Neurospora crassa OR74A: one gene and its partner. The protein of the gene in region 1 binds, or shares a complex with, the protein of each later gene. Links are inferred from orthologs where the notes say so. Each region holds a gene or a part of one and is shown in the gene's direction. Other genes may lie near its edges.

Region 1 (3,224 bases):
CCACGGCATTTTGGCCTGTCTTGGACTTGGCGCCAGCCGGGGCTGAGGGGGTGATACTCCGCTGACGGTTCGCAGTCGTGCCGTTGGTACCATTGCGGGTTGGCCCAGCTGTCACACCGCTCCTCCCGGTAGTCGGTGGCCTTACATCCTTCTTGCCCTTTTTCGCTTCCTCGGCCTTTAATTCCTTGCGTTCCTTCAGCGTCAACTGCTTCTCCACCTTCTTGTGCTGAATCTTTCCAACGGATGACAGCATGGGCTGATTGGCCTGGGCCCTTGCCATGATCTCTGCATAGGAGCGTTTCTTCGGAGGTCCAGAGCCGGCGACAGGAGCGCTAGGGGCGGGTCGGCTGACGAGCGGTCGCGAAAGTGGAGCCTTATTCCCATTCGAGCTTGTTCCTCCCACCTTTGACTGCGTCGATGTGGTCTTGGTTGACACCGGAGCTGTTAGTTTCGTGGTCGAACGTGGTTGCGCGGTGCCGGTGTAGCCAGTTGTTTTTTCTGCGGGACGCGTTGGGTTCGCATTTCCTGTGGGGCGCTCCGTCGGTCGGTCGGCGGGGCGCGCTGTAGAAGGTTTCGATACGTTTCCATTCGGCCGGGCACTTCCATTTGTCGCTGGTTCGGTACGCGGGGCCTTTGGCGCAGAACCTCGAAGGTCATCGTCGGCCTTCCGTTTAGATGCTGTTGGGACATCTTTCGTCGAGATCGATGATGACGATGGCTTTTCGCCCGTTATCGATGCGAGCAAATCCGAAATCTGCACACGTGTCAGCCAGCCTTTTAAAGGGCAAGCGCACTAAACGAATGGCAACTTACCGGCATGGCTGTGGTTGTATCGGTGAATAACCTTCTTTTACCAGCTTTGCTTATCCTTCTCCTGCGTTCAAAAGACGGAGAGTTGTCCAGGCATCGAACAAGAGGAGAAGGAAGTAGGTGGCAGGGTTTTATATGCTTCCGTCACAGATCGCCTCAACTGACGATGCAGATGCACAGTGGGACAAGCGCGAATGCTTTGGCAAAAAACACGGCGAAAGAATGGGCGCGAGTATGCGAGGTCGCCAGTCGCCCGATAGTGCCGAAACCAAGAATAGGAATTAGGTTGGAGATGGGTTGTTGGCGAAAGAAGAACAAAGAATCCTGCGTGATCGGGGACTTGGTTTCGCAACTTTTGCTGGGCAGAGACAGAGACGGGAGCCAGGATGGTCAGCGTAGTGAACGACCCACCCAGTCACTTCTGGTCGGAGCGGTGAATCGCGGTCTCCGAGGTCAAAGTCACAGGCCCAGACGGTCCAGACCAGCAGCGTGCCAAGCCGCACGTCACCGAAAAGTTGTGTTTATTGCCAAGAGCGCCCAAGGCGTTATGAATTGGCCAGCTTTTTATGTAATTGCAAGCGGCCGGCAGGCAACGACGGAAGGGAGCTTGGCGGGAAAGAACGCACGGGATCTGCCCTAAGTCGAGTGGATTGGTCAGGTGATTTGAGGCTTGTGGGCTTTCGTGGGGCGCAAAATTGCGGGGCTTCACAGGAACGAAATTGTAAAAATAATCCGTGATCGGGTCCCGTCCGCGAACTTCTTTCCGAAACAGTGAACTTCCACCCCCAAGAACCTAAGAAGAGTCTTTCTCCGCCACAACTCAGCGGTTAAACCTGATTGACATCTCTGGTTCTCCAGCTCAGTAAGTTTTTGGTCCAGCCTTCCACAACCGTAGGATTTCCGTCTAACAACGCGACCTTCAAGACAGACAAAATGAAGCACTTGGCCGCTTACCTCCTCCTCACCCTCGGTGGCAACACCGCCCCCTCTGCCGCTGATGTCAAGGCCGTCCTTGAGTCCGTTGGCATTGAGGCCGACTCCGAGCGCCTTGACAAGCTCATTTCTGAGCTCGAGGGCAAGGACCTCAACGAGGTACGACTATTGTCCGGAGAGCAGACTTGAGTGTCCGGCGCACATGGCTAACACGAGATATTACAGTTGATCGCTGAGGGTTCCTCCAAGCTCGCTTCCGTCCCCTCCGGCGGTGCTGCTGCCCCCGCTGCCGGTGGTGCCGCTGCCGCCGCTGGTGGCGCTGCTGAGGAGAAGAAGGAGGAGAAGGTTGAGGGTAAGGACACATTCAATCGCTTGCGCTGTCGCATTCAGCTGCTAACTGCTGGGTACAGAGAAGGAGGAGTCCGACGAGGATATGGGCTTCGGTCTCTTCGACTAAGCGTCTCCTACCATTGTCCGGTAACATGGCATGGTATTTTCCGAGAAACCTTGACGGATTGTACACGCGGTTCAAAAGTCACCTGCATCACATTCGCCTTGACGGCGGCAGCAGAGCTGGAGTTCTTGGGATTACAAGGGCACGTCTTTCATAAGGGCGTCAAACGGCACATAGGCGGAACAATACAAGTCGCAAGGTTTTCTTCGGACCTTTTTGTCCCTTCGTGATCATACATGTGCGTGCTGCGCTGTTCTGGACATCTGCGCCTGCAGCTAAAATTGCTGAGAATATGTTGCTTGAACATGCATGTTTGTGAGCTCTTCTTCTTTTCCGTTCCTGTTATCGCACTGATATGGCGTCCCATCGACGGCGCCCTGCGAGAACGTTGGTAAACAAATCCCTTGATATTCACTTGACATGCAGCTCCATTGTCGTCTCCATTCATTTATCGATACGCACGGTTGCATGTGGTTCCTTCAAGTCGGGCTTCCCTGTTGTTTTTGTTGTTGTTGCTGTAAACAAAGCTTGGCAAGCTCATCACTGGAGTTTGCGTTTCCCAGAGAAAGGATCCATTTCAGCGGTTGCCGCGAGCAACCATGCAACATCACCCCGTGTTTTGATTGGTCGCAGCTCCACAAGTCAAAATACTCGCTCCTAGCGAAAGCCAACAGTCAGCACGCACCCAGGGCCCCAATACAGAGTGAAACCCCCCATCGTCTCCTCTAGCTTCCGTTCACGACATGCTTCATCCGCGCCGCACCATATGATTTCTCGCTACTCTCGTTATTCTTGGTTCCATGCGCTACTCTGGCACGTAGATTCGCAATCGCCCACGCAGCCCTGTGCTTATTAGGTATTATTTTCTTCAATTTTGGACTACATCTGAAAAGGCGGCAAACCAGGCGCAAAACAAGAGCAGGATCGTCCGTGGCTGCGAAAGACGGGCAAGGTTCCAAGCTCGCAAACAGGACGAAAAGTTAGGTCCACCCAACGCCGAGCCAGCGCATTTGCAACCGCAACCAAA
Region 2 (4,423 bases), on another chromosome or scaffold:
AGGCCCAGGCCCAGCACATCAGCCCGCCCCCGAAGACCGACGGATGGACCATCCTCCAGCCCAGCACCCCCCCATCGTCAATGAGCCTGAGCGTGCGGCCCGTAAAATGGACGTTGACGAGGACTATGACGATAGCGGAGAGGAGGACAAGAAGGGCGGAATTATTCCCGGTCCTTCCTCCGGATCCGGCCCTGCAGCAAACGAGTCCAAGAACGGAGCCTCAACGAGCGGTAGCTTCAACGGCATCATGGGACAAAAGTCAGAAAGCAACTGATTACATCATCTGCCGTGTACCTCGAGCTTCTGCGCGAGAGACAAGACCCAGTGTATCTGCTTATAATACGGCAGAGGTAGGAGAACCCAAGATCCTGTCGATGTCATAATGGTTTTGCTTATGGATGGGAATGTACGTCGACTTGTTCGTTTTATGTGGTTTGAAAGAGTGGTCATCATTTCACACACATGGATGATGGAGACAGAAGGACCTGTGAAGCTCAAGATCTCATGGGTGCGAAATGCACTATTTTACCACGTTTTGACTGACCGGTAGGAGATGAGGAGGGAGAGGAAGGAGCGGATTCCGATGTACATACATTATTATGACTTGTGTTTGGAATAGAAGCGTGTGCATGTCATCTGTTGGAAAGTCGACAGCGAGAAGGGAATGGGAATATCCTCAAGAGGCGGAAATGAACTCGCTGCTTTGCCATAGAGGCCAGTTAGAGAACATGATTACGATTGTCGTTACACTCTTGGGATCGTAATTGCAACGTCGTGATCATTCCCGCACGGGATACGGTGTTATTGAAATGGCTGAACGGCGCCTCAGCCCGAAAAGTCAAGGAGATGACAGCTAAGTGTAGTGCTTTCGTGGTTATCCCTTGTAACCAGTACGCCTTTGACCATGCATGTCCGCCTAATCATGTAATCATGTTAAGCCAACCCACTTGTTTTACATCTACGACTGTTATAATGCCCTTGTCCACGAGCTCGACAAGCTAGAGGTATTGAGTCAAGAAGCAGATGGGGCATTTGACAATGTCGTCATGCTTCTGACAGGCAGCTGACAACCCCAATAGATGGAGATCTCGCTTTGATCCAAACAGCCCAACCTAGGCTATTGAAAGCCACAACAGCTTGCTCTCTTTGACACCGTGGGCGCGGACATCGAATTCGGAGAATCAGCCGTGTGATCAAGATGGAGTCAAGGGGGGGAACAACGAAGATTGGAGCTCAACATATTGTAACCGACCAGACCAAACAGAGCCGTTGCCACGCGCAGGCGCCGAAAAAATCCCATATCTCGTATTCCATCTGCGAACGTACCTACGGCGGCAGCGGCGACGATGACGGACTTATACGCAGAGCAATCAAAGTCACGTTTTCTGCCACCTCAACAGGACTTTACCTTGTCATCAATGTGCCATTAGTGAATGGCCCGCCAAGCTGACTAAGTGTACGGGGTCGCTCTTGTGGGGTGGATTGTTCTGGGCTTGGCTGGTCATCGCTGGTTGGCTGGGCGGGCTCGAGGAACAGGAAGGCGGACATGCCCGCCGGAAAGGGCTCGCGCAAAAGTTAGGGCTCCGCTGCACTTGAGGCCCGTGCACGGTCCAATCCACACCACTCACACAAAAATTTGGCTGGTCCAATTTCTCTGGCGATACTTCTTGATTTTGTTTTCGCGGTAGTGAACTTTTTCCCACTCGACCATCAACAACCCGGGTACTTGGGATCATCAGCAGTCATGTCTCACCGTAGTAAGTAACGCCTCATCGCCGTCGCTGTCGCCGCCAGACATACGGTCTTTGTCGATTTCTACACGCAATCCCGACTTCGAGAGAATCGATGGAGCAGCTTTCCCGAGAGACGGTCGTCGCGATATCGAAATTTTCGACTTTTTGGCGACTGGATTTTGGGGAGCATGCGTGATCACGACTTGGACCTCATGGCAACCTGAACGTCCTTCATGCTGACTCGATGCTTCAGAGTACGAGGCTCCCCGCCACGGTTCGCTGGCCTACCTTCCCCGCAAGCGCGCGGCCCGCCACAGGGGAAAGGTCAAGTCGTAAGTCAAGCTTATCTTCTGGTACCATCGACAACACTATCGCTAGTAGTTTGGATCTTTCGCGATCGGAACTTGGGCAATAGGGCATGCGAACAGAGAGGCTGACCAGTTGCGCGTTCATGACAGGTTCCCTAAGGATGATGCCAAGAAGCCCGTCCACCTTACCGCCGCCATGGGCTACAAGGCCGGCATGACCACCATCGTCCGCGACCTCGACCGCCCCGGCGCCAAGGCTCACAAGAAGGAGGTCGTTGAGGCTGTGACCATCATTGATACCCCTCCTGTACGTACAACGCAGCCCGCTTGGCTCTTTTTGTGTCAATGGCTAACATCTCTCGCAGATGATCGTTGTGGGTCTGGTCGGCGTAAGTCTTTGATCCTGTCCAGCTGCCGTATATGGCCTACCGCGACCGTGTGATCTAACCCCGATATTAGTACATCGAGACTCCCCGCGGTCTCCGCTCCCTCACCACCGTCTGGGCTGAGCACTTGTCCGACGAGGTCAAGCGCCGCTTCTACAAGAACTGGTACAAGTCCAAGAAGAAGGCCTTCACCAAGTACGTCAAGAAGCACTCCGACAACAACGGTGCCGCCATCACCCGCGAGCTCGAGCGCATCAAGAAGTACTGCACTGTCGTCCGTGTTCTTGCCCACACCCAGATCCGCAAGACTCCCCTCAAGCAGAAGAAGGCCCACCTTATGGAGATCCAGATCAACGGTGGCTCCGTCGCCGACAAGGTCGAGTTCGGCCACGGCCTCTTCGAGAAGCCCGTCTCGATCGACTCCATCTTCGAGAAGGACGAGGTTATCGACGTCATTGCCGTTACCAAGGGTCACGGTTTCACCGGTGTCACCGCTCGTTGGGGCACCAAGAAGCTTCCTCGCAAGACCCACAAGGGTCTCCGCAAGGTCGCCTGTATCGGTGCCTGGCATCCTTCCCACGTCCAGTGGACTGTTGCTCGCGCTGGTCAGGCCGGTTACCACCACCGTACCTCGGTCAACCACAAGATCTACCGCATTGGCAAGGGCGATGCTGAGGACTCTGCTGCCACCGAGGTCGATGTCACCAAGAAGAAGATCACCCCGTATGTATCCCCGTCTGTCTTGAAGAAGTTGAAGAGCGCAAAACTAACCCTGTTCCAGCATGGGTGGCTTCGTCCGCTATGGCGAGATCAACAACGACTTCGTCATGGTCAAGGGCTCCGTTCCCGGTGTCAAGAAGAGAGTCATGACTCTCCGCAAGTCCATGTTCGTCCACACCTCCCGCAAGGCCCTCGAGAAGGTCGAGCTCAAGTGGATCGACACCTCCTCGGAGTTCGGTCATGGTGCTTTCCAGACCCCTGCCGAGAAGAAGCAGTTCCAGGGTACCCTCAAGAAGGACCTCGCTGCCAGCTCGTAAATTGGCTGCTGCAGTTGATCTCCTTGTTAGTCGGGTTGCATTGGTGTCACGGTTTTTTCGTTGCTCTTTCGGGTCGGTCGGGAAATGGGACTATACCTAGCATTTACGGCTTAATAAAAAGCTGTTGAAGAACAATGAAACGTTGATCCAGTGTACTGCCAAAGAGAGTGTCCTTCAGCAAAATGTGTTTTATGTGATGTGAACACGTGAAGAATCTGGTGGTTGGCACAGATTCGATGGACACTGTTGTTTATAACTTCGTATGTTTTATTCCAGGACTTTTGTCTTGGGCTGCTATGCCCCCACTAGTGTAGGGTAATGACTTGAAGGGACCAGTGGCATATAGATATACCCAATTTGATAGTCTTGAATGTAGCATGTCGTGTGATTCTCGTTGCCTGTTCTGCTGCGCTGGACGTGTTCGATTTATCAACTGTTCATGAGCTTCCACCTGTCATTCACTACCCGTCTCTATGCTTTCTCTTCCTGATATTGTTCATCTGCGATACCACGACTGATAATGATATCACTTTTCGACCATCTTCTCATATTCCTAGTCGTGCTTTTGGGAGTCCTCACGGCGTACATGGCTGTTGTTACTTGTTGAGGGCATATCAAACCCCGATCGACCTTGCAAGCAGCCCATCTCCTGATTGGTTGACGCTTCCACTCTTAGGCCAACGTGAGATCCGCCATTCCTAATTGGTTTCAGCTACTGCAGGTTACATCATCGGACGTTCGTTCGCATCCCACCACGCAGCCCACCCACCTGACTGATCATTGTCATCGTCGTCCCGCCCAACGAAACGTTCTCAACCTAAACACAACAACATAATGGTTTGAACTTCCCTAACCCTGACCCAGATCTGTTCTAGTTGCTTCTTCCATCCTCAACACAAACTCTTTGTCGACAATCCGCAAAGCTAATTACCCGGCTCTTTCTCGAACACCAGACACCC

The links.
Region 2: NCU00979 (region 1) and NCU06843 share a complex: the UniProt entries of both Saccharomyces cerevisiae proteins name them as parts of the large ribosomal subunit. The link is inferred for Neurospora crassa OR74A from reciprocal best matches to the Saccharomyces cerevisiae genes RPP2B and RPL3.

Annotation. Positions count from the first base shown.
Region 1 is NC_026501.1:6,512,025-6,515,248, forward strand, and holds NCU00979 (60S acidic ribosomal protein P2), read left to right. Parts: upstream 1-1,519; 5' UTR 1,520-1,672; intron 1,673-1,734; 5' UTR 1,735-1,743; coding exon 1,744-1,902; intron 1,903-1,968; coding exon 1,969-2,095; intron 2,096-2,153; coding exon 2,154-2,200; 3' UTR 2,201-2,623; downstream 2,624-3,224. Other genes in the region: NCU00980 (hypothetical protein), read right to left, coding at 1-754, 814-819. UniProt on the Saccharomyces cerevisiae protein: Component of the ribosome, a large ribonucleoprotein complex responsible for the synthesis of proteins in the cell.
Region 2 is NC_026502.1:1,783,758-1,788,180, reverse strand, and holds NCU06843 (60S ribosomal protein L3), read left to right. Parts: upstream 1-1,615; 5' UTR 1,616-1,744; coding exon 1,745-1,757; intron 1,758-1,986; coding exon 1,987-2,065; intron 2,066-2,191; coding exon 2,192-2,348; intron 2,349-2,406; coding exon 2,407-2,430; intron 2,431-2,500; coding exon 2,501-3,150; intron 3,151-3,208; coding exon 3,209-3,464; 3' UTR 3,465-3,903; downstream 3,904-4,423. Other genes in the region: RCM-1, read left to right, coding at 1-274; NCU06844 (hypothetical protein), read left to right, coding at 4,299-4,301, 4,418-4,423. UniProt on the Saccharomyces cerevisiae protein: Component of the ribosome, a large ribonucleoprotein complex responsible for the synthesis of proteins in the cell.